Linked DNA regions of Oryzias latipes. The protein of the gene in region 1 interacts with the protein of each later gene in a biochemical or structural test. Links are inferred from orthologs where the notes say so. Each region holds a gene or a part of one and is shown on either strand. Other genes may lie near its edges. The genes, in order: copb1 and arcn1.

What was found.
Region 2: the proteins of copb1 (region 1) and arcn1 form a complex in vitro, tested with the Homo sapiens proteins (2 studies listed by BioGRID). The link is inferred for Oryzias latipes from reciprocal best matches to the Homo sapiens genes COPB1 and ARCN1.

What each region holds. Positions count from the first base shown.
Region 1 is NC_019861.2:19,353,509-19,366,184, forward strand, and holds the start of copb1 (coatomer subunit beta), read left to right. Parts: upstream 1-6,058; 5' UTR 6,059-6,188; intron 6,189-7,669; 5' UTR 7,670-7,731; coding exon 7,732-7,822; intron 7,823-10,129; coding exon 10,130-10,359; intron 10,360-12,615; coding exon 12,616-12,676. UniProt on the Homo sapiens protein: The coatomer is a cytosolic protein complex that binds to dilysine motifs and reversibly associates with Golgi non-clathrin-coated vesicles, which further mediate biosynthetic protein transport from the ER, via the Golgi up to the trans Golgi network.
Region 2 is NC_019871.2:31,550,573-31,563,248, reverse strand, and holds the start of arcn1 (coatomer subunit delta), read left to right. Parts: upstream 1-3,943; 5' UTR 3,944-4,213; coding exon 4,214-4,216; intron 4,217-8,374; coding exon 8,375-8,638; intron 8,639-9,808; coding exon 9,809-9,988; intron 9,989-10,073; coding exon 10,074-10,279; intron 10,280-10,355; coding exon 10,356-10,514; intron 10,515-12,423; coding exon 12,424-12,589; intron 12,590-12,676. UniProt on the Homo sapiens protein: Component of the coatomer, a cytosolic protein complex that binds to dilysine motifs and reversibly associates with Golgi non-clathrin-coated vesicles, which further mediate biosynthetic protein transport from the ER, via the Golgi up to the trans Golgi network.

The DNA.
Region 1 (12,676 bases):
ACATGTATTTTATTAAGAAAAATCAACTTTCTCTAATTGAAGCGCCTGTCACTGCTCTCATTTAACAATTCAAAAACATGTCTAGAACTAGAAACATTTTACAAAAGTCCATACGAGAAGTTCTATGAATGATGCAGTCTAGGACCATTCCCATCAGGCACTGTGTTGTTTTCAAATGCAACATTTTCTAATCTATTTTAGTACACAATTAAAATGTTCTTCCTCTATTTTCAATGAAAATGATAATTTTAAAAAAGAGTGCAAAATAAAAAGTTCAATATCAAATAGGCCCAGAAAGTTCAGTCATAAACAGAAATCAATAAATATCTGGTAAGTGGCCCCATCGTGTGTCGCTTTATCACGCCACTCTGTTATCAATTAGTTGTACTGACTAGGAGGATCAGAGGATCACCGAGTGATGGATCCAAACAAACCACTAGGGGGGATAACGTTACAGGAAATGAGCTGCACTAAATTGGTTATCACGAGGAGGAAAGCGCCATCCACCTTTCAAAAAGAGCCTCTTTTTATATCCAGGTGTAAAAGCTGCCGACCTAGTTTTGAATTAAAATGAGAGATAAGTGTATATAGGCTGCTACTTTTACAAAAAATAAAAAGATTTAAGATGAATATGTTACAATAAATAATAAAAACCGGTTTTATTTTCAAGTTTACTGAACAATTAGTGCAGAATTGCAAAAAAAATAAAAACAAGATAAACACCAGTTGAAAAGTTATTTTTAATGTTTGGAAAAACATAATCTGATGTTTTTCCTTTGTGACTGTTTCCAAAGTGAGTTCCAAGAGTTATTATTGTTTTTGCAAAATAAATAAGCTTTCCTGTTTGCTCTTCTGTGCAAATGTCAAAGGTCTGTCATTTTACCTTTACACTCTTGTGACATTTGATGTCTTACAAAGGTATCACTCTAGTCCATTTTGATATCTCCCATGCCATTACTTGGCAAAAGCAGTCTATTTAAGTGTACTACAATTAAACTTTATCCATACGAAAAGTGAGCTAGTATACTTGAAGTCTAGCTTTTAGATACTATCAATGTATTGTATTCAATTCAATTCAAACAACTTTAGCAGAACTTTATGTAACATGTTTCTGTTTTGTACAGTTAGTGACTGAAACCAGCGGATAATCGAGAAAGTTTTTACATTTTCAATGAAAGCATAAGATAATCTCATCAGAATGTCACTGCCGGTTCCAAATTATTTGAATTTTCTCAGGAGGCATTGTCTCTGAATGCACAAAGATTGTTCTCAGGTACATGTGTGCTCCTTAACAAGCTTCTCAGCGAGGATGGAGTTGAAGTTTGCAAACAGGAGCCTGGCTGTGCTGTTGGGCATGTCCAGAAGCTTATGAATGATGTTCATGATGAAGATCTTTGCTTCATCAACACTGCTGGCAGCTCATCCATGATTGGATTGTTTAGCTTTGTGACGACCTTTATGATCCTCTCCATGAACTTCATTGCCAGAGATGTAAAAGCCACAGGATAGAGATTATTCAGGACCACAGGTTTGCCTTTTTTCTCAATGGGGATTACTGTGGAATGTTTCCAATGCGTAGGTACTGTGCTGCTGGACAGAGAGCTCTGGAACAGATGGTAAAACACCCCTGCCAGTTGCTCAGCACAGGGTTCACCCACAGATGTTGTCTGGTAGCTGATTTTCTTTTTGTCCTTTCCTTTTTGGTTTTCACAACCTCTGCTGTGTTTGGGAAAGTCAGAAAAGATTCCTTAGTTCTGAATGAGGAAATGGCTGAATTGATCTGATTGATGTTATGCTTCTCAAATCTGTTGAAGAAGCAGTTGTGGCCGTTGGGAAGAGAAGTAGAGCTCAAAGCTGCCATGTTTTTGACACCCTGCCAGGCTGCACAAAGATTCCCTGTTGCAAAGGACTATTCTCCGTAGTTTTTGTAATCCTGCTTGACCCCTGTTGGTTGACCTCCTTGTTAACCTCTCTCTTTTTTAAGCCTCACCACAGGCTAAGAAAATTCTCTTTTTTTTTTGTTCGGGTTGGTTTTAAGAGCTATGGTTACCATGGGTGTGTTGTTGGGCTAGATGGTAACTTTTTTTTGAAGGGGATACTACTGTCCACACAGAAAGAGATGTAAGCAGACACTGTCTCCACCTGTTTGTTGATGTTGGAGGAGGATGTGAGGATGTTCCAATAGGTGGTTTCAAAGCATCTCTGCAGCCTATCAATACTCACTGTTGTCCACTGTTTAATGTCCTTAATTGTTTTCTGTGTCCTCCTAAGCACTGGGCAGTAAAATGGACCAAGTACTATACTTACTAAAATCAACTTCAAGTGTGCTACTTTTTTGTTGAGGGATCTTGATAAACAAAAATGAGATCTTTTAAAGGAATGTAAGCATCCGCAAAATTCACAAAAAAATATTTTAATCTTACATCAGAATTCCCCTCTGGGAAAGTCCTGTTTGCAGACAACACCACAGTCATTGGGATCTTCAGGGATGGCGATGAGTCTGCTGACAGAGGAGAAGTGGAACAGGTAATCCTCTGGTGCAGCAAGATCCACCTGGAGTTTAACTCACTTACAACATTGGAGATGACAGTGGACTTCAGGAAGACCCCACCCCCCTCAACCTACAATTCTCAACAGCACTGTCCCCTTAACCCTTTTGCTATCCTATGACCCCACCCTTACATTGACGTGTTCTCCCTACCATGACAAAGGTGGATAAAGGTGAAGAGGATTTCATGTAATCCATGAACACCAGTGAAGATCACAAATCATTGAAGAAAAAAGGTTCAACACACTGTCTTGTGGGGTCTAGATGACCCAACTCCCAATGTTAACGTGCCAAGGATAGCACAAGGGTTACCAGACTCACGCAGCTTCCTAGGGTCCTCCATCTCACGCGACCTTGAGTGGACCTATCACACCGACTCACTCCGGAAAAAAGCTCAGCAGAGGTTGTACTTCCTGTGACAACTTAAGAAGTTCAACCTGCCTCAGGAGCTGCTGACGATCTTCTACACAGAAATAATCCAGTGTTCCCTGACTACATCCATCGTCGTTGGATCTGCAACTAGAGATTCATCAGATCTGCTGAGAGGATCACTGGTTCCAGCCTTCCCTCCATCCAGGATCTGTTCTGGTCCAGGGTCAGGAAGCGGGCTGGTAGAATCGCTAAAGACTCCTCTCATCTTGGACACTACCTTTTCAGCCTCCTCACGTTAGGGTGGAGTTTCAGAACAATGTGCGCCAAAACCACTCGCCACAAAGTCAGCTTCTTCCCCCGACCTGTCACTTTCATGAACTTCTGACCAATCACAGATTATGGAAAAGAGACATGAGAATTGTCACACAGAAGTACTGTTGTATTTTATTTATTTTTATTTATCGTTATATTTTTCTTCATATTTTTTTTTTTTTTTTTGTCTTTACCTTTTTCCCATTGTTGCTTGGTTTGCACGAGAGCATGAGACACCAAAGCTAATAAATTCCTTGTATATGCACTGTACTTGGCCAAGAAAGCCGATTCTGATAAAACCATGAACACATATTTCCAAAAGTAATTTACTTACTGTGTAGTTAAGATTAAATTAAGAAGCAGATCCACCTGTGACAGAGTACATAATAAATCTATTCCTCACGTTGTTCCAAATTTGTCAACACTCTATAAAATTAGTGACTTTTGGGCTTATTTTATGGGTTCATGTCCCTCTACCTTTTTTTTTTTGACTACCAAATATTTCATCACAGACTAGACACGTCTTCTGTTAAAAAATAGCTGTTTTTTTCTGTTTCAGTACTTAATTTTTGTTCTAATGTTAAATTATCATAACTTTTAAGTGTACACATCCCACCAGCTGTGTGAAGGGTATGTCACATCGTCAAAAGCTTTAAAGTACTCGACTCCTTTTTTCAGCCACTTTGATTTGGATGTAGAATCAAGCTGTTACCAAAAAGATGTCACTTCATTCACTTAAAAAAGGCTGTAGTTTTAAAATAAACCATACATTGTCAGTGATGGCCAACAGCTAAGATATTGACCCTAAATTTGTTGAAAAAACGATTAATTCAATAGAGACTCAATTCCACAGAGAAAAAAACAAAAAAGTTATTGAATGGAGTCTGGGAATGTGGGAAACTTGGATCGCAGGCCTCAGCCATGACTAGTGATAAGAAGTTTTGATGATAATAACAGGAAACACACAGATGGATAAAATTACTTCATTTCCCACCAGAGGTGCTGAATAGAGAAAAACAGAGCCATGCTAACATGGGAAGATTTTCTGTTCCCCAAAATCTAACAATGCTTAAGGATGAGAACAAATAAACAATGCAATAAAATAAAAATAAAAACGGACAAACCAAACTTGTCACCAATGTAAGCTGGTAAAAAAAAGCACACTAGTGTTTAATATAGCCCTTTGACTTGTCATCATCTGACAAATGACTTTTTGACTGCAGACATTTTACCATAGCGCAGCAGGAAAAGCACTTATGTGATTAATAAAATTAACAATGACTGCACATGATTAAATTTAACCCGGTCTGGCATTGTGCATGCTGGCTCATTGCTCTAATGTCATTTGTTGCACCTGCTGCCAGAACAAATGTCTGCTGTGAAAAGGTCAGGGAAAAAGTGGAGCACAGCACTTTTGTCAGTGATGCAGATTGCATGGTGAACTTCTTGCTGTGTTTTACATTGCAGCGTACAGAGCAATAAATGGCATAGAAAAAAGGTCAATGGCAAAAAGAGTCTCTCTCCTGCACCACAAAATGATGCATGAACTTTATTCAAGTGGCCTAGGTTTTTGCATTTCATTTGAGATCCTATATTTGTTTGCAAATTCAACTTGCGAACAACTTTTCAGTGGACTTTCAAACATCTCAAAATCCATGCAAACAGACTATGCATGGTTCCTTCTTGTTAATCAGTGTAGTAGTTGCAAAATAAAATTAACATAATGTTTTTTAACTGAATACTTTCAAAACCCCTTCCTCAGCCGAAGAGTTTCAGATTCCCCCAGAAAAATCTAAATTTCCTGATTGAGTAGGAAAATAAGGTGTGCTTTTTTAGTTGCTACACTATATGTAGTCCTCCACTGAAGAGCAGCCGTCCACTTTTCAACATGAACAGAGAAAGTTAGTGTATTCCCATAGTAAAAAGACTCTTTCAAGTTCTTCAGAGGTTAAAAATGTCTCACCTCAACACAGGTAACACACAGTTTTTCTCTGTTGGAGTCAAGCATGAAAAAAAAAATCCACATTCAGCATCCCGAAAACCAGTCAGAAGATAAAAAAAAAAGAAAGTTTCCTCAGCACAGGAGTATTGATGTTTTCTAGCACTCTGGACAGAAGCCTGGATCAAAGTTGAATATGTTTTTCCCCCAAATTCCAAGAAGAAGGTCAAATTACCCAGCTTAACACACTCTTGTGTTCCTCCAAGATGATTTAACTGAAAATGAGTCCATAAAACAGAAACTGTCAGATCAATACGAGACAAAGGCTTCTCAACATCCACAGTCTTGGAGCAGCTGGAGTAACTTGAGTATAGATTTAATAACTTGCCAAGCGCCTAGTACAAAAAGTAAAAAGGAGACAGACCAGTCATATATGACCTTCCTCTGTTTAATATGAAGTGCTGCTTGTCGTAACCAAAACATCCAGCTCTCGTCAGGAGGATCCTGGCTGAGTGGAGCCATCACACCCTGCAGTGAAAAAGTAGCTGGGCAGGCTTTAGTCTGAAAGCAAACAACCTGAGTGTGGCATCAATCACTTAATGAATCCAGTGCATGTGCCTGTCAAATCAAGAAGGGGAAAAAAAGAAAGATAACACTAACAGGCACTCCCATAACTGTTTGTTGGAAATAAACCCACATACTGGGTTTACTTTAATCAATAATAGTTTAAAAAAAAGCGTGTGTTTTGATTTCTAAACGTTTGTATTTAAATTGTAAATCAAAGAAATGGAAAAATACATTCCCATGTTTAGCGGTCGGTTTATGCGTTGCGCGTTTGAACCTACCGGCGCACCGTAGTTGTGATGTGGCTCAGAGAGCAAGTTTCTTCCACGTCACTAGGAAGTGGAGCTGACGGGGAAAAGGGTACCATCGCTCTTTTCACAGGGACCTTTACACATGTATACGTTTAAAATTGGACATTGAAGGTGACATCGGAGGACACAGACGTACAATAAGGTAGATTATGTTATGCAATTAGTTTAAATGTTGTGAATAATAAGCATTTAGTAACGAGGCGGCTAGCCATCGCAACATTGTCCACCATTTCGTTGCAAGATTAGCCGGTGTTTAGCTAACGCTAAAAATGCGAAAGTAGTAATTCTAACTTAACCAAACTAGCTGCGTATTTGATTTAATTGTTCATTTAACCGGTTAATATACGTTTTTTTCGTGTCTAGCGGTTTGGTGCGCATACTCGTAGCGACATTTAAGTGAAATATAGTTTTTTTTTTTCGGTGTACTACTAGCAGCACTGGCAGGCACCTGTGACTGTATCCCAACGATTTTCTCCTTTTTTTTCTTACCTAGACTGGAAGTTTTATTCGCTTTAAATGAGTTCTTAGTTTTATATATCAGGATAACAGCCCTTTAAAATGTTTATTACATTCAGAGGAATAGTTGGCAAAGACTTTCAGTCAGGGTAAACCTGTAATAATAAATATAGCTCCAAGATTTTTATTTTGAAAAAGTAACTGTTTGATTCAGTTGTTTTTTATCGAGACATGATGGACAAAACTCACTCTGCAATTTTTATACACACAGATGGTTTGATAGCCTTAAAGTATGAAATTATGTTTTTTCAAACATTTATTGTTTAGGTTTAAATGATTTTTACATATAAAAAAGCTGTGTTGTGGCTTGTTTTATTTTTAAATTTGCGTATGTTTGTATAATATTAGCTTCTTTTTCGCTTAACTTTTTAATGAAATATGACACAAAAAATGTCATATTAAAAAAAATATTCTTAGAATTTTCTGCAAAGGGATATCACAATACCAGAAATTAGGCCTGCACAATATACCGCAAATGTATCGTTATCGCAATATCCAGCTCTGCAATATGCATATCGCAAAAGACGGCGAATATCGCAATAAATCGCAAACCCAAAATGTGTTAAAACAATCTTCTAGCAGCTTGAAGCATTTAACGAATCAAATAAATCCCTTTATGCTTTGACCAATCAGATGGACTCCTTCCCATTGTTGACCAATCAGATGGAGGCCTATTATGTTAGATGTTTGTCCCCCATGTCGATGAGAGTCATTTGGAGTATAATTTTTAAACTGTTGCAATGAAATGGCAATGATGTTTTTGTTTATTTTTCTATTTGTTTATTTACCGCAAATTTATCGTTATCGCAACATTGATCACTAATATCGCATATCGCAGGTTTTCCTCATATCGTGCAGCCCTACCAGAAATGTAGTTGTGACAATAATGCTAAAATTAAACTCATTTGGATATGTATATCCAGATGGGAAAAGCGCCACATATCTTTATTATTTTTCTTCTTCTTTTGAGGCCAGGAAATCAATAACTGTTAATCCTTTCAGTCAGCCCTTTTTTTGTGTTAGTTTTCTTATGTTTTCTAATTTAACTATTGATTTCTTCACTTCTTGTCTGACAATTTCACAGTTTTTCTTCTGTTTTTTTTACAGGTATTATCCGAAGAGGGATACTCATTGCAATTTGTTTGGCCATAAACAAGCTCAGCAGCAAAATGACGGCTGCAGAAAACGTTTGTTACACTCTCATCAATGTTCAGTCGGATTCCGAGCCCCCGTCCGAAGTCAGCCTCAAAGCTGATCTAGGTAGAGATATTACTTTTCATGTTGTTCTTAAATTCAAAGCTTTTTTGAATTGGTCTCGATTGATCACACATGATCATACTGGCGATGCTCGATCTGAATTTATCAAACTTATCAGAAAAAGAGAATGTAGGCCTGGTTAATTAGAATAATATACACATTTTTTTCACGTTTTCACATGTTTTCTAGGGATTATTTATCAGAATATCCATAGATAAAATGAATTGGATGCTTTATTACATAGTAGTTCACCAGCTGTGTTTTTTTTTTATCAGTAACTGCTTATTGACAGGGCTTAGAAATGCCACGTCTTCTTAAAATTAAGTGTTAAGTCGATCCTTTTTTTTCATATCAATTATTGTTGCAGCTTTAAAATGAAAGACTTCAGTTGTAAATGTACTTAGATTGAACTGTTTTCACTTAAAAACAATTTTAAAAATTAACAGCAGCTCTGCAGGCAGTTTAGATATGCTTATTCAAGTTAAATGTGCTTCAGTCCGGTTCAAGTTGTCAAAAATAATTTATTTTGTTGAGGTGGTTTTGCAAAACTACAAAATAAGATATTGTTGGCAAATTTATTTTCACATCTTTTCAAATTGATTAAACACTCAAATATTGATCCAATACAACCAGGGCTCCAGACTGCGAGCAATTGGTCGCATTTTGCGACCAAAATTTGAGAGTGTGCGACTAAATTTTACATCCAGTCGCACATGTGCGAGCAGTAAATTTGCCTCCCCCACCCTTCGTATTTTTTTTATACATTAAACGTGGAAGGGGCACGTCAATGATCTATGAAATAATCAATGAGACGCGAGCGCACACGCACGCAGGCAGACACACACACTCGTGCACATACTCATGAAACGCAAGCACGAACACTCTCGCGTGATGCCTGTGTGTTAGGCGGCCACTGCGTGTGAGAAGAATAGGGAAAGTCACTGTGAGTGGCTAAAATGCGTGTAGGGGGAGGGGCCTAGAGCTGACCAACCAATCACAGTGGGGTATATGACTCTTGGGGGCGTGACAATGACAGGGTTTTGCAAGCAGGAAACTTGACAGCCCCCTCCCCGGACCACATTAAGGAGTTCTTTACTTTCCTTTCTAGAACGTATCTATTCGCTCGTAATTTTCTAAATACATGCAGTCCGTGCTGAACTTTTCTCTGGGTCACACAGATCCGGAGGAAGGTTTAGGTTTTGGTTACGGTTACGGCGGCGCATCATACGGGTTACGGCAGCACACCGCACCTGTCCCGCGGGAGTCGGGTCAGCTGAGGAGAATAAATGCCCCACACCTACATGCGTGACAGCTAACGGGGCTTGAACTTTAAACACGCTCGAGCAAAAACAACATTAGTTTTAGACACACTGAAAATACGTGGGGAAAATGCAACGATAGACGTGTTTGAGATGAACCAGCACCTCGCCTGGATCGTTGGGGAGACCAGGCGGGGGGGGGGGGGGGGGGGGGGGGGGGGGGGGGGGGCTGTGAGATGAAAGCGAATCTGCAGCAAGACTGAAGGAGAACAGGAAATTGGAGTTGTCCTTAACATTCAATTTAGATTTAATATTCTTCTCCCCCTTAGTATGATCTGTGTTATTATATATTTTATGATTATTTTAATGTTTTGTAATGTATGTAGCCTTTTTTAATGAATTGGTATTTTAAATTATTTTAATTAATCACTCCACTACAAAAACCATCAGGACACATGTCCCATAATGCATTGTTTTGTAGTCTGTAGGGCAGCTTTCAGTCAGTTCAGTTTCCAGCTGTGTCCGGGTAGGTTTGCCCCTTGCTCCCACCCCTTTCTCGCGATATTTTTGCGATGATTGACAGTTAATGTTGGAGCAAAAACAAATATACATCTCACACCAGGTGATCTGCGCAGCGTTGAGTCCACCTGGGTGATCTCAAACACGCTTGTTGTGCATCTTGGCTGCACCTATTTGGTGTCACAAAGATAAATTTCCATCCGTTTTCTTTACTTATTTGTACTGTCATGACAGCGATGCTTTTGTCAGTTTACCTGTTGTTGCATCTTCAAAAGTGCAGAATAAAATGTGACACTGAATTTGAAACAGCACATTGTAATATCTGCATCTATTATTAAAGTATTTATTAGTAATACAGTGGAAATTAGTAGATTTGGTTAGAATGTTGATTTACGGTGTGCGCCCCTAAATTTTCTGGTTGTGCCCCTAAAATTTTCAGTTAGGGGCCACTGTGCTCCTAGTGAAAAAAGTTAGTCTGGAGCCCTGAATACAACATGATGAAACGATGCATCCAAATAATCTTCTTCTGCAGAGAAGGGAGAGATCAAAGCGAAGACGGAGGCCCTGAAGAAGGTCATCATCATGATCCTGAATGGGGAGAAGTTGCCAGGCCTGCTTATGACCATAATTCGCTTTGTGCTGCCACTTCAAGACCACACCATCAAGAAGCTGCTCCTGGTTTTCTGGGAGATCGTCCCTAAAACGACTCCAGATGGAAAGCTGCTTCAGGAGATGATCCTGGTCTGTGATGCCTACAGAAAGGTAGGCTGCTGCTTGAAGAATTTCTTTATATTATTATAACATGGTTGAGGAAGCCACAAAACATGGCTTTGCCACCATCTACATTCCCAAGACCACCTGATAGCAGCAGAGTAGGGCCTGATTACCGTAATTTCCGGACTACAAGCCGCTACTTTTTTCCTGCGCTTACAGCCCTGCGGCTTATTCAGTGACGCGGCTAATTTATGGATTTAATTAGTGGCCGCCATGTACGTACTTTCGAACTCAGTGAATAGTTTGAATTCTTTATCTAACACCAAGCACAAGACATTTATATTCAACACACCTCTAAGCAGCCAAACAGCATGGACTTGACTTCAGGTCTTAGACACTTCAGTCATGGTTCAAACAAAATGAAACACGCATGCCCGGCCGCATCCCAGAATCCTTTGGTGCCATTAGACCCAACGTGCACCAGATCGCCGCTACAATATGATGAAGCTTTCAAGTTAAAAGCAATTGTTAAAAGCAGCGTAAAAAAGTCCACCGTCACCAACGGGTTTGGAAAAGCCGGTTTGCTGCGTGACGGAGAGAACAGCGCATGGAGTGAATTTACACTCCATTTACGGTTTCTAAGGAAACCGTAAAAGCAGAATTTTGCTTTGAAAAACTCACAGCCTCCGTGTGAGCTGGAGACATCTTCTCCTGCTGATTGAGCTGCGGGGCCGATGGCAGTCTGAAGGCTCCCACACGTAACAACGCACCCGCCCCTCATACACAAAACGTACAGTATTAAGTCCGATTGCTTTGCACAGAAACGATTTGCTCGGTCCACCGGCGCAATGGGGACGAAGTGCTCCTCCTTGAAGCTGCCCTGGCCAGAGGTGTCGGAGTAGATAGGAAGGGGAGACAAGGAGCGCGCGGGGCGGGAGCGGAGCGCAGAGGCGTCCGCGGAGTGCAGAGGCTTCTGAATTCTGACGCACGCGCCGCACTGAGGCGCGCGTATCGCGCTGAGGCGCGCGCTTTTCAGTCGCCGCTGCTGTATTTTACCGGTGTGTTTTTTAACCAGCCCTGTTACTCCCATAACGCTGCCGCGACACAAGCGGAAGGAGAGCTGTACCCGTTCACCCCTCCATGCACTGCTGATACTTGCTCATTCTTAAACACGTACTACAGAATGGCGAGCCGGGCATTGGCCCCGCCTTTAGCCCCTAAGACTCATGGGAAATGTGGAATCGCGGATGTAAATTTCCTCATCATAACTGAGGGATGTAATGTTGATTATATGGTTACTGTTTCTAATTTTATGTATGATACCTAGATTGTCAATAAGTAAAAAAAAAATGAAATAAAAACACCATAACTGAGGAACTTGTGAACAGAATATAGGTCCATGCTGTTTGACAGTTGTTGACATATACAAATACATGAGCCTGAGTCAAAGCTAACTCCACCCACAATGTGCTAATGATTTGCACTCACTCTGGGATGCTGGCCGTGATCTGTCAGGATGACAATATCGCCTAACACATGCGCGGCTTGTACACTGACGCGGCTTGTGTATGTATAAAACTAATTAAACATGTGAAAATGGGTGGGTGCGGCTTGTAATCGGGTGCGCTTTGTAGTCCGGAATTTACGGTAGTCTTTGGATGGGAGACAGCCTGGAACTGCCAGGTGCTGCGAGTTCCCGCCACCACATGGGGGCACTTTCCTCTGTTTCCTTGTACTATAAAGCCAAATCTCATGTGATTCACTATAGTGGCCCTATAGGAATAAACAAACATTGTATTGGATGCAGCAGCTCGGTAAAGTTTGTAGCATTTTTAAACAGACTTTGATTTGAATTTTTAACTTGCTAGTTTGTTTCAATGATCTTTTTAGTCAGTTGTTGGCTTCAGACAGGTTGGTGATTTGACCCACAGGAGACAAGAACTTTATTAGAATCTCTGCATGTGACATCCGACTGTTAAAAACAGATAAAAAAGCACTGTGCTGCATTAGTTTAATTATGATAAACATTTGCAACTTTACATTTATTTCTAAAGATTTTTTTCCACTATTTTTCTTATGGCAAACCCAAATTGTGTCCAGTTTTTGGATAAGCAGTTTAAAATTATATTAATGTACTCTTTGATAATGTTTTCCATCCTGATTTTTAGTCCACATGTTTGTGAAACTTGCCTTTGCAGTGTTTTCTTCCATGAAATGCACTCATTTAAAGCTAAAGGTGTGAAGGTGTGGACCCCTTTAAATATTGAAGCAGTTGTTTTCAAACTTTTTTTTGTAATAACTCAGGATCTTCAACATCCCAACGAGTTCATCCGTGGTTCCACTCTGCGTTTCCTGTGCAAACTGA
Region 2 (12,676 bases), on another chromosome or scaffold:
CTGATAAGGGTGCACCCCAATTTTCATTACATGTCCATTAACTTGTGTAATACAACAGACTTACTGCCCAAAATGTTGTTGTCCAGAGCCAAGATGATGAGGGACTTGAGGAATAAAAAAAAGTGAATAAAATCTATTTTTAGCTTGTTATCGGTTCCTAAGGTTTTAAAATGTAATTGGATTTTAATTACTGAAATAAATTTCCTGCCATCCTTCATAAATACTTTGAGGTCATTTAGTTTTTTTGTACAAATGTGTTTAGTCCGTTTTTTTCCTGCAGAACTCTCGGATTTGTTGACATGCAGTCATTTAACTAACTTTAGGTACTTTTTCTGTCTTTCTTTGTTTTTTTTTTGTGCATGTGTGTGTCACAGGTCCTGGTTTTCTGGTTTTTGTTGTCCTCTTTAAAAAAAAAAAACAACTTATATTCAAACATTATGGACTAAACCAAACAAAGCTAAGAGTTGCTTCCCAAGTTGTGTTTTCAGTGCTTTAATAGTAACAAAAAGAGCCAATCTAGCCACAGGGGTTGCAAGCCAGTAACTTCTGTGCCGGTCCCAAGCCCGGATAAATAGAGAGGGTTGCGTCAGGAAGGGCATCCGGCGTAAAAATTGCCAAAATAACCATGCGAATCATCCACAACACTTTAGACATACCGGATCGGTCGAGGCCCGGGTTAACAACGACCGCCACCGATGCTGTTAACCTACAGGGTGTCGGTGGAAATTTGACTACTGTTGGTCGAAGAAAGAGGGGAGGCAGAAGGGTCCGTTGCCAGAGAGAGAAGGGAAAAGGCAGGAACATAGGTTTGAGAATAGGGACTCTTAACGTTGGCACAATGACAGGGAAAGGCAGAGAGCTGGCAGACATGATGGAGAGAAGGAAGGTAGATGTACTGTGTGTGCAGGAGACAAGGTGGAAGGGCAGCAAGGCACGTAGTATTGGAGGAGGATACAAACTTTTCTATCATGGTGTTGATAGGAAGAGAAACGGGGTAGGAGTGATTCTGAAGGGGGAGTTTGTAAACAGTGTTCTAGAGGTGAAAAGAGTCTCAGACAGGATGATGAGCCTAAAGTTAGAAATTGAAGGGGTGATGGTGAATGTAGTCAGTGGGTATGCGCCACAGGTTGGCTGTGAGTTAGAAGTGAAGGAGAGATTCTGGAGTGAGTTGGATGAGGTCATAGAGAGTTTTCCCAGAGGAGAGAGAGTTGTTATTGGAGCAGACTTTAATGGGCATGTTGGTGAGGGCAACAGAGGTGATGAGGAGGTGATGGGCAGGTTTGGTGTGAAGGAAAGGAATCTGGAGGGACAGATGGTGGTGGACTTTGCGAAGAGGATGGAAATGGCTGTAGTCAACACTTACTTCCAGAAGAGAGAGGAACATAGAGTGACATACAGAAGTGGAGGTAGGAGTACTCAGGTGGACTACATCCTATGTAGACGAGGTCATTTGAGAGAGGTTAATGACTGCAAAGGGGTGGTAGGAGAGAGTGTAGCCAGACAGCACCGCATGGTGGTGTGTAAGATGACTCTGGAGGTCAGGAAGAAGAAGAGAGGGAAAACAGAAAAGAAGACCAAGTGGTGGAAGCTACAGAATGAAGAAACTTGTGAGGAATTTAGGCAGAAGTTGAGGCAGGTCCTGGGTGGTCAGGATGAACTTCCAGATGACTGGGAAACTACAGCAGAGATTATCAGGGAAACAGGTAGGAAGGTGCTAGGTGTGTCATCTGGAAAGAGGAAAGACGGTAAAGAGACTTGGTGGTGGAATGAGGAAGTACAGGAATGCGTCCAGAGGAAGAGGTTGGCTAAAAGGAAGTGGGATGTAGAAAGGACTGAGGAAGGTAGACAGGAGTACAAGGAAGCGCAGCGTAGAGTGAAGAGAGAGGTGGCAAAGGCCAAACAGAAAGCTTACGATGAGCTATATGACAGGTTAGACACAAAGGAAGGAGAGAAGGACTTGTACAGGCTAGCCAGACAGAGAGACAGAGATGGGAAGGACGTGCAACAGATAAGGGTGATTAAGGACAGAGATGGAAAGGTGCTAACAACCCAAGAGAGTGTACAGAAAAGATGGAAGGAGTATTTTGAGGAGCTGATGAACGAGGAAAATGACAGGGAAAGAAGGGAGGAAGATGTGGTTGTTGTGGAGCAGGAAGTAGCAGAGATTGGAAAGGATGAGGTTAGGAAGGCTCTGAAAAGGATGAAGAGCGGAAAGGCCGTTGGTCCTGATGACGTACCTGTGGAGGTATGGAAGTGCCTAGGAGAGACAGCAGTGGAATTTCTAACGAGGTTGTTCAATAGGATTTTAGAGAGTGAGAAGATGCCTGAGGAATGGAGGAGAAGCGTTCTGGTTCCGATCTTTAAAAACAAGGGTGACATGCAGAACTGCAGCAACTATAGAGGAATAAAGTTGATGAGCCACACAATGAAGCTGTGGGAAAGAGTAGTGGAAGCCAGGCTTAGGAAGAAGGTGGAGATTTGTGAGCAGCAGTATGGTTTCATGCCCCGTAAGAGCACCACTGATGCCATTTTTGCTTTGAGAATGTTGATGGAAAAGTACAGAGAAGGTCAGAAGGAGCTGCATTGTGTGTTCGTAGATTTAGAGAAGGCGTATGACAGGGTGCCGAGGGAGGAGCTGTGGTACTGTATGAGGTCGTCTGGAGTGGCAGAGAAGTATGTCAGAGTAGTTCAGGACATGTATGAGAGAAGTATGACGGTGGTGAGATGTGCTGTAGGTCAGACAGAGGAGTTCAAGGTGGAGGTGGGACTACACCAAGGATCAGCTTTGAGTCCTTTTTTGTTTGCTATGCTGATGGACAGGCTGACAGACGAGGTAAGACAGGAATCTCCCTGGACAATGATGTTTGCGGATGACATTGTAATTTGCAGTGAGAGTAGAGAGCAGGTGGAGGAACAGCTAGAGAGGTGGAGGTTTGCTCTGGAAAGAAGAGGTATGAAGGTCAGTCGTAGTAAGACAGAATACATGTGTCTGAACGAGAGGGATCAAGGTAGAAGCGTTAGGTTACAGGGGACTGAGGTGAAGAAGGTGCAGGAGTTTAAGTACTTGGGGTCAACAGTTCAGTGTGATGGGGATTGTGGAAAAGAGGTGAAGAGGCGAGTGCAGGCAGGTTGGAGCGGTTGGAGGAAAGTGTCAGGAGTGTTGTGTGACAGAAGAGTGCCAGCAAGACTCAAAGGAAAGGTGTACAAGACAGTGGTGAGACCAGCTCTGCTCTATGGGTTAGAGACGGTAGCAGTGAGACAGAGACAAGAGGCTGAGATGGAGGTAGCAGAGATGAAGATGTTGAGGTTCTCCTTAGGAGTGACCAGGTTAGACAGGATAAGGAACGAGTACATCAGAGGGACGGCTCATGTTGCCTGTGTTAGCGACAAAGTCAGAGAAGCCAGACTGAGATGGTTTGGACATGTTCAGAGGAGGGATAGTGGATATATTGGTAGAAGGATGTTGGAGATGGAGCTGCCTGGCCGGAGGGCAAGAGGACGGCCAAAGAGGAGATATATGGATGTCTTAACAGAGGACATGAAGTTGGCTAACGTTAGGGTAGAAGATGTTCATGATAGAGTGAGGTGGAAAAGGATGATTCGCTGTGGCGACCCCTGATGGGAAAAGCCGAAAGAGAAAGAAGAATAGTAACAAAAAGAGCCAATGATTGAACCAAATCACCTCTTTTGTAATGAGAAAATATTATTATTGTGGTCTACTTCTGCAGGTATCATAAAGAAAGTACCTTAATGATGAAACGGGGCTCATGTTACACATTTCAATTCTGAAAATTGTCATGTGTATGTAATTTGTAAAGTAGAACAGTTTGGATGTAAATTCACAGCACTGGTCGGAGGTTCCTGATGGGGCTCGTGCCGTTGTTCCCTCTCACTTCTTAGTGAGTAGTGGGTGCGACGCAAAACGCTCGCGGCACGCGTCTAAAACCGGATCAATCTATGGAGAAACTGGGCGCTCGAGCGTTTCCACTCGACAGCTCCAGGTTTTGGTGTCCGCGTGACACGTCACTGTTTTCCACGCAAGCTGATCAGGGCCGCGCGCTCCTTCCGGTGGAGACGTGGCTCTGCGGCGGCCATATTGACGCTAGCAGTCCGTGGAAGCCGCGCGCGTTGTCAGAGACTACAGTCCCTGGACCAAACTCAGAACCGGAACCACGAGAAACGGACTCCAGCGGAATCCCGAAGACAGACCACAATGGTAGGTGTCTGTCCAGAACCGGACCCCCCCTGCTCCAGTACGCGTCGGGCCTGCAACTAGCATAACATTGGCTAGCAGCTAGCTGCTGCGCTTCGGAACGGAACTAAAGTCAGGAGACGCAACTGTCCTCTGGTTTGGTTAAGTTTGGGTCCAGCACAGACTAATAGTGCAGTTGGACACGTTGTCCATTTAATTAGCTAGTACAGATAGCGAGGCTAGTGTTGTCAAGCCGGACTGGACCGACCGAACTTGGTTGATGACGGGTCGTGTTCGGCCCGGGAGTAATTCTGTTCTGTGTTGGCTGTGAATGTCATTAAAGTTCTGTTAGTGTGACCCTAGCTGCTGTTTGTCAGTACCAGAGTTCGTATAAGATTTTAGAAGAACAAGAACAGTTCGGTCCTGCTCTGTGTGGCAGCTGCCAAAGACACACAACAGTGTCATGATTTGGCACACCGTCCATGTTCGAGGTTCCGAAGGGTCCAGTGGGGAACTAATGGCTCCTGTCATCAGGTCAGAGTTCTGAGGTTTGAAGATCTGGAGTTTTCTGTGATTCACCCAAAATATGCCCCAATTCATCTGGGAAGCATTCCAGACGCTAAGGTTTGTGGGTAAATGAATCGCATGAACTGGAGTGCACTCTGGGTACGTTCATTTATTTATTTGAGGTAAAACGTCAATATTTTTTTCATAAACGTCAATAATACCGCATAAACAATTTAAGTTGAATTTATTTGTAAATATAAACGACTCAGAACACAGCAGTAAACAAGACTAAATACTTCATAATGAGCATGAGAAAAACAACATGCACTCTGTCTATCAGAAGTGTACAGCTCGGTTTCACCTAGAGGTTCTGTCAACTGGCACCTGGTGATCACCTTGTGGTCGCCGTGGTGACCATTAGGCCTGTTAACTTGTTTCCCCGAATGTCCCTTGTCTGCCTAAGCTGAAGTGAAAATATGACAGACTAAAAATGAGGATGTTGCCAAACTAAATGTCTCTCCGATGGAAGGGAGTCATTCACAAATGAATGAAACTACATGTTCATTCATTCCAACCCCATTATTTTCAAAGACCCACTCCAATGGAAATTGTATTTGTGGTGTCATTAACTTGTTCTTGTAGCACTTATAATGAAGGACATGTATCAAGAAAACTAAGCTGAAAATTTCATTTCTGAGTAATTCTTTATTCAAATCGTTGTGAATCAGAATGGGGGGGGGGGGGGGGGTGTGATGATGTGTTACATACAAACTACAATCATTAGGCCACAGGCTCCCTGCTCCAGTCCAGTCTGATGCATCCACCTGGGATCTGGATCCAAACTGAAGGGCTGGATGCCGTCGAATTAAAAACATTTTCTTTTTTTCTCTACCAAACAAATGCAACCACAAGAAGGCACAGTCCAGTGCTTTCATGTGCCTGTCAAAGGTGTGTCAGGAAGGGCATCTGGCATAAAACCAAAGCAAAATCAAATATGAGAATCTCAATCAAATTTTCCTTTTGTGTGGTTTAATTAACTCTTTAACACTGGAGCTTTAGCTTTAGTGTTGACATTCTTTCGACTACGGTAACTCTTCAACAGTTGATGCAATTAACGTAATTCCAGTGGATTCTGCAGCGGAGAAAAGCATCTTTATCTTGACATCCAACACTTACAGTAGTGATATGCTTGCCCAATCAACAAGTCACCCAATCAACACTTCTGTCATGCAGTAAAGCAGCTTTGCACCCAGATTGATGCAAAGCTGGTCTTCTCTGCTTCAGAATCAGCTGATTAACTGATCGCCAAACATCAAAGATTTACCATCAAAAAGAGAGAATTGTTTAGACGTCACTGGAGACATCTCTGGTGTTAATGACTTGTTACTGGTACTGTTGACCTAAAGCGGGGGTGTCAAACTCATTTTCACCGAGGGCCTCATCAGTATAGAGGCTGTCCTCAAAGGGCCAGATAAAACTTATACATGTAACTAAAAATAAACGTAACTGCTCCTTGATGTTAAATAACTCATTTATTTATTTGTTTTAACTTTTTGAAGTGACCATTACAGTTGCATAGAAAACATGTTTGCTTGTTACTCTAGCATAAATCCTTTGAAATGTTGTCCTCTTATTAAAACCCACGATCAAACTGTCCACGTGAATAAATAACATCAAACTGAGCTAGAAAGAACACGTATGACACGTGTAACATTTTACAATAAAAGGCTGCACACAGCCGTGCATCCAACTGATGGTTTGATGACAACAATTTGTCTGCATACACACATAAGACCTGCAAACATTGAATAATGACAACTGCAGCTACACATTAATAATATGTAATCAACTAAAAAAAATATTATAAGAGATTAAAAACGTTTATGCTGTGGCAGGCCACATAAAATATGGCGGGCCACATTTGGCCCCCGGGCCTTGAGTTTGACACATGTGACCTAGAGGGTTCATGTGCACTAATGCTGGTCAAAGGAGGAGAGGAAGGAGGTGTGGCAAAACTGGTACCTTGCTTTTTCTCTCTTTGGCAAAAAGAGCAAATGAAGTGTGGCAGTTTAGGAGAAGAACCTTTGATTATAGAGACTTTAACAGGGAAAATACAGTTGGCCAATACGTTAGAAAAAACATGGATGTACTGTGTGTTTGACAGACCAGATGAAAATGCAGGACGTTTTATTAACTGGGAGCAGAGTTGAAGCTTATTTCTAATGGTGTGTGCAGAAAGCAGAACAAAGAAGGTATGATCCACAACCCGCCGACGACATCTATACATCTATAACGACTCGACTTTTCATGGGATAAATGGGAATCAGCTGATACCAAAGCAGAGGAAAGCGTCTTTTCATATCTGCTTTGTACTGGCGGCTGAATGAGACCACTTTGTCTGTGACAGAATCCACTGATTGTGTAAATACTTCACTACTGTAAAGTGTCCAAAGAAAGTCAGTCAATTTATTTATATGCACAATATACCCATCCTTCTTTGCAAAAGTTTGGATGTTGTCTGTTTTCGTGGGAAAAACGCAGACACACTGCAGAGGCCGGCTCTAGGTTGATATCATGAAATGGGCGGCACCCAAAAGGAGAGAAAGGCGGAGCCTCAGAGATCGAGCCGTCTTACTTCATGGTTGGAAAATGAGCTGCAAAAATAACTAATATTTCTTTAAAAAAATAGCTCTTTTGTGTGGCAAATGTAATATGATATCATATGCATGGACATAGTTTACTATAAAAGGATTAAGAATAGCATCATATGGGCCTTTAAGTACTTTTACAAGAAATCACAAAAATTTGTCGATTCCTAATTATTTAAAATTCACAGAATGATTCCAAATCATTTATGGGTCCTAATTGATGCATCTATTAATCTAATAATCTAGTGTCAGATGTGACTTGTGTTGAGTCTGTAAAAATGAAAGGTGAGAGCAACCATGTTGTTGTTTTAGAGACCATTGCTCTGACGCAGAGCTGGAGGTGAAGGTAGAGATGTTGAAGTTCCCTTTGGGAATGACCACGATGGATCAGGAGTGAATCCATCAGAGGAAACGGCTGATGTGGGATGTTTTGGAGATGAATTTAAGGAAGCAGATTGAGACGTTGACAAGGGTGACAGTTGTTGTGTTGGTAGGAAAACTGAGGTTTGAGCAACTAGGACGGAGGCCTTTAGGAAGACAAAGAAGGAGGTTTTTGGAAGTAGAGGAAGAGGACGACGTGATGAAGATGGTTGGTGTGAGCAGAGGATAGGATGGAGGTGGATGATGCACTGTGACAACCACTAAAGGAAGCAGCCAAAATGAAGAAGAAAAAAATCATGCTAGTTCCTGTCTTTGTTGGTGACTGAGTCCTCCCTTTTAAACAATTGGGGAGGACCATCTGTGGATATTAAGTGAAGCTAAAGTGGGAAGCAGAAGGACTGCGACTTCAAGACTCAGGAGATTTGATCAAGCAAGTTGGGTAGAGAAGATTCTAAGGGTAGGTACAGATGGGAGTGGTCATACACAAACAGGTTCGTGTTCTTAAAAAAGCCTGACATGCCTCTGTGTCTGCACTCAAAGTATTGATGTCGACATTTAAAGCAGATGAAGGTGAAAGAGTCTGCCTCACTCAAGAACTTTCTAATGTTAGACAGTAAACCCTGATGATCCCTACTTTCCTGCACAGGTGCTGTTGGCAGCGGCGGTGTGCACCAAGGCTGGAAAGGCCATCGTATCGCGGCAGTTTGTGGAGATGACTCGGACCAGGATCGAGGGACTCCTGGCTGCCTTCCCAAAGCTCATGAACACAGGCAAGCAGCACACCTTTGTGGAGACGGACAGCGTCCGCTACGTCTACCAGCCTCTGGAGAAGCTCTACATGGTTCTGATCACCACCAAAAACAGCAACATTCTAGAGGACCTGGAGACCCTGAGGCTCTTCTCCCGTGTGGTAAGAAGCTGACATGCTGCTGAATTCCTGATGCCTGCATCATTCTATCATGATTATAGGTTTTCCAGCAGTAGCCTTACAAACTGATCATCTTTACTACAATTGCAATTTCTGCAAACTAAGGACGGATCAAATTTGCTTTAGTGTAACAATCTCTTTTTTTTTTCTTGAAAAGCCTCTTTGTATTATATTATCCAGATGACAGCCTTTAAACCTACTTCTATGATGGAATCTACCTGGATGAATGAGAGTCTTCACAGACATTTTTCTACTAGTTTCCTTTCTGTTCAACCAGTTTTGAGAAAAGGCTTACCAGCTGTTTCTGGGTTAGCTGGTCACTCATCTCATCCATAATCTGGACACAAAGAAGTTCCTTCTGCATCTGCTTTCTCTCAGTCTACACAAAAGATCCAGTTATCTTGTCCTAAATTTAACCAGTACCAAAAATAAAGTCCCAGATCAGTGGTTTTTGACAGAAATTATTTAATTCAAATACCGTGTTAGGAAGTCCAGTTATGTACAAACACAACTTCCTGTCAGTATTTGATATGTTACATTTTTTTTAACTTGACAAATTTTGGGAGTGGGTTTTATTTATTTATATTTTGTTTCAATTATTTATTTTTAAATGTAACTCGAATTTTAGCATTGCAAAGGTTGTGTTTGTTTTTTATGGCCAATGAGCCCAATTTCCCATTTGGCACATAGTAAAGGAGTAGAGGAGGAAAATACAGAAAACAAAATCACCAAAAGGAGAGAGCTAATAAATATGACTAATTTGACACCAACATCTGGTGACTAACACTCCAACTTTTACTCGCCAAAGAGGAGACCTAAACAAAAAAATCAGAAATGTGTCGAGTGGCTTGTCCGCTTGGTCTGTGCTGTATTCTACATCATTGAATTTTTCAGGAAAAATGGGTCTGGATTCTTCTGGGTTACGGAGTCGAAATGAATGAACTCTGGTCAAATTATTGGTCCCTCTTTAGTCAATGTTTTGTAATATTTATCAACTGTGTAAGTGTCCATGGCAGGATCAGATGAGAAATAGCTGGTACTTTTTTCCTAGTTTGCTTGGGTTTTCAGTCCACTGCAGTGTTGTCGGTGCAACTTTCAGCAGGAGGTTCTGCACGTGTGCAGAAAAAGCTCACAACGCTGTCGTCCATGCAGATCCCAGAGTACTGTCGCGTGTTGGAGGAGAGCGAGATCTCCGAGCACTGCTTTGACCTGATCTTCGCCTTCGACGAGATTGTGGCTCTCGGCTACAGGGAGAACGTCAACCTGGCCCAGATCCGCACCTTCACAGAGATGGACTCTCATGAAGAGAAGGTTTTCCGTGCTGTCAGAGAGGTAAGCTGCTCCTCAGATGACAGCCAACTGAAGAATGAAGAGCTGATGCTGTTCAGTGCTTGACATGCAGATTTGCTGATAACAGACACAGGAGCGCGAGGCTAAGGCAGAAATGCGGAGGAAGGCCAAGGAACTTCAGCAGGCCAGGAGGGACGCTGAGCGCTCTGGGAAGAAAGCGCCTGGCTTTGGCGGCTTTGGCAGCGGTGGCATGAGCAGCGTTTCCTCAGGGTCCATCATCACAGACAACATCGTGGAGCCCGAGAAGCCCAAGATGACGCCGGCTCCACTCCGGTAATGAGAGAACACGGGGTTCACCTGGCGCTCCTTGTCGTGGCAGTGGCCAATTGCTTTTCCTTTGTCTGTGCAGGTCGAGTGGACCCAGCAGAGCTCTAAAGCTGGGCGCCAAAGGCAAGGAGGTGGACAACTTTGTGGACCAGCTCAAATCTGAAGGCGAGACCATCATGCCGACGGGGAAGAGGGGCTCAGACGTGTCCAAAGCTCTACCCCCACCTATCAACGTGGAGAGGTACATGACCTGCTCTTTTTAGGTAGTTTGTTTCTGATGTTAGTTCCTGGAAACACCCAGATGAATACCTCCCACAAAAACTCAAACTATTGACACCTTTGTAAAAAGACCTAAATCTAAAGATCCACGTTTCTGTGACCCTAACCTTCTGCAGCATTGTCCCACTGACAACAGGGTGGGGGTGGTGAGGTGTGTACTTGGTGAATGCTAAAGCTCCCACTCTGCTCTCCAACTCCTTCAAGACATGCTTCAGCATTCTTATGCTCTCGTGTTTGCTCTTCTGCTCGTTCAAACATTTATTTCCTGAGAACCGCTGGACTTCACTACAGTCATGGTGCGCTGATTTACACATGAACTGGACCGACTGTGACGTCATCCATAGAATAACGAATAACTAAACGAAGTCAGTGGCCATTTTGAACGTTACTAACACTGCCATGTTGGAACCAGACCGTGATTGGTTCAAGTCGGTCTGTGGCAACCACTCACCAATCAGCCGGTTGAAAGTGCGCTCTGGAGAATCGGTCAAACGTTTCAAACGTGAGACGTGAGACCACATTATTTTATTGAGCCAACTGACAGGCAAGTTTCTACATAGAATAATTTGACTACAGAACAGATATTGAATAATAGAAATAAGATTATCAGATGTTAAGAAAGGTTTCAGATCCAGAACGGTTCTTCTGACCAATAGAATGACTAACAGCAGTTTATTTCTCCATAGAGGTCGACCACGAAGCAAATAGTCCGTTTTTTGTGAAAAAGTTATCCAAACCAAAAAAATAACAAGATGAAAGTACTGAAACTGGTTGAATATGTATTTCTTTTGTAAGTGATCTTGTTATAAGCGAGTTAATGGCCTTTGAAGTGTCCATCATCAACATTAATGCACTTCGAGGAAGCGACAGGCTTCCATGTCGTGCGTTAATTTCTGATAATTCACACGTCTTTGCCCAATACGCCTTACAGGATGGAATACCTGGAGGTAGAAAGTAATCCCAGTAATACTTAATTAATCCTTTAGTGATCTTTCAGTTTTCTGCAAAGCTGCCTTCATGTTTTCTTCCATAAAAATGAAAGCACAGAGATTCCTCGCTATATTACAATTCATCATTCACTGTTTCACGGGTTTGTAAGTGCGGTTTTGCATACTTTGTTTTCTTATTTAACGGTGTTCTGCTGTTGACCTTGTCGACCAGTCACCTCTCTGCCGTGTCTCCTGAATGCGTTCAGTTTGCCACATTTACATGAATCTTGGATCCTGAGCAGATCTTTGCTTTCATTCTATAAAACACTTATTTTTCTACAAAGGTTTAAACCTGGAGAGTTAAAGCGTGAGAGAAAAGTGTGATTATGTTCATGCCTGTCTGAGAAACGAACTGAATTGTTTCTGGGATGTAGCCCTTCTTTGACTGGTAACGCTTTACCCCTTTAGATATTTAAAATGATTTATGGACGTTTTTTGGTTCAGGAACTTTTCTTACACCCTGCATTTCTAAAAATCTGTCGTTTTTTTTCTTTTTTTTTTCTTGTGAATTAAAAACTTGAAGAGCTCAAATATCTGGCAGAAAATAGATCATTTTGTAAAGGTTTGCTCTTCGGCGCACAGTCGCCCGTGAGGACCACTTAGAGTGCCTGCTAGACATGCTCTAAAAATATCACAGATGGAATTCAATTTAATTTTTACGTTTCATTCAAGTTAGGAGTACAGCGGATCACTATCCACGGTTCCGCACACGTTCCACGGACAGTTTAGACACATGTGAAACCCAAATCTGTCATGAAGAAGGCTGAATCTATGGAAATGGGCGCACAGTTCAGCTGCTGAACTTTGACCCTTTAGTGGTCATTTCAGGGGTGCTGCCCGGCCCGCCCTCTGATGGGGCAGCTGCTGTTTGTTTCTGCTCAGTGTGCATCTGCGCGTGGAGGAGAAGATCTCCCTGAGCTGTGGGCGTGACGGCGGCCTCCAGAACATGGAAGTGATCGGCATGGTCACGCTGCGGGTCTCTGACGACAAGAACGGACGCATCCGCCTGCTGGTCAGCAACAACGACACCAAAGGACTGCAGCTGCAGGTACAGCTCCCCATGCCTACAAATCCTGGGTCTGACAGACTGGAGCTTTTGCCCACTTTCTCCCTCTCATCTGAATTTATGACACGC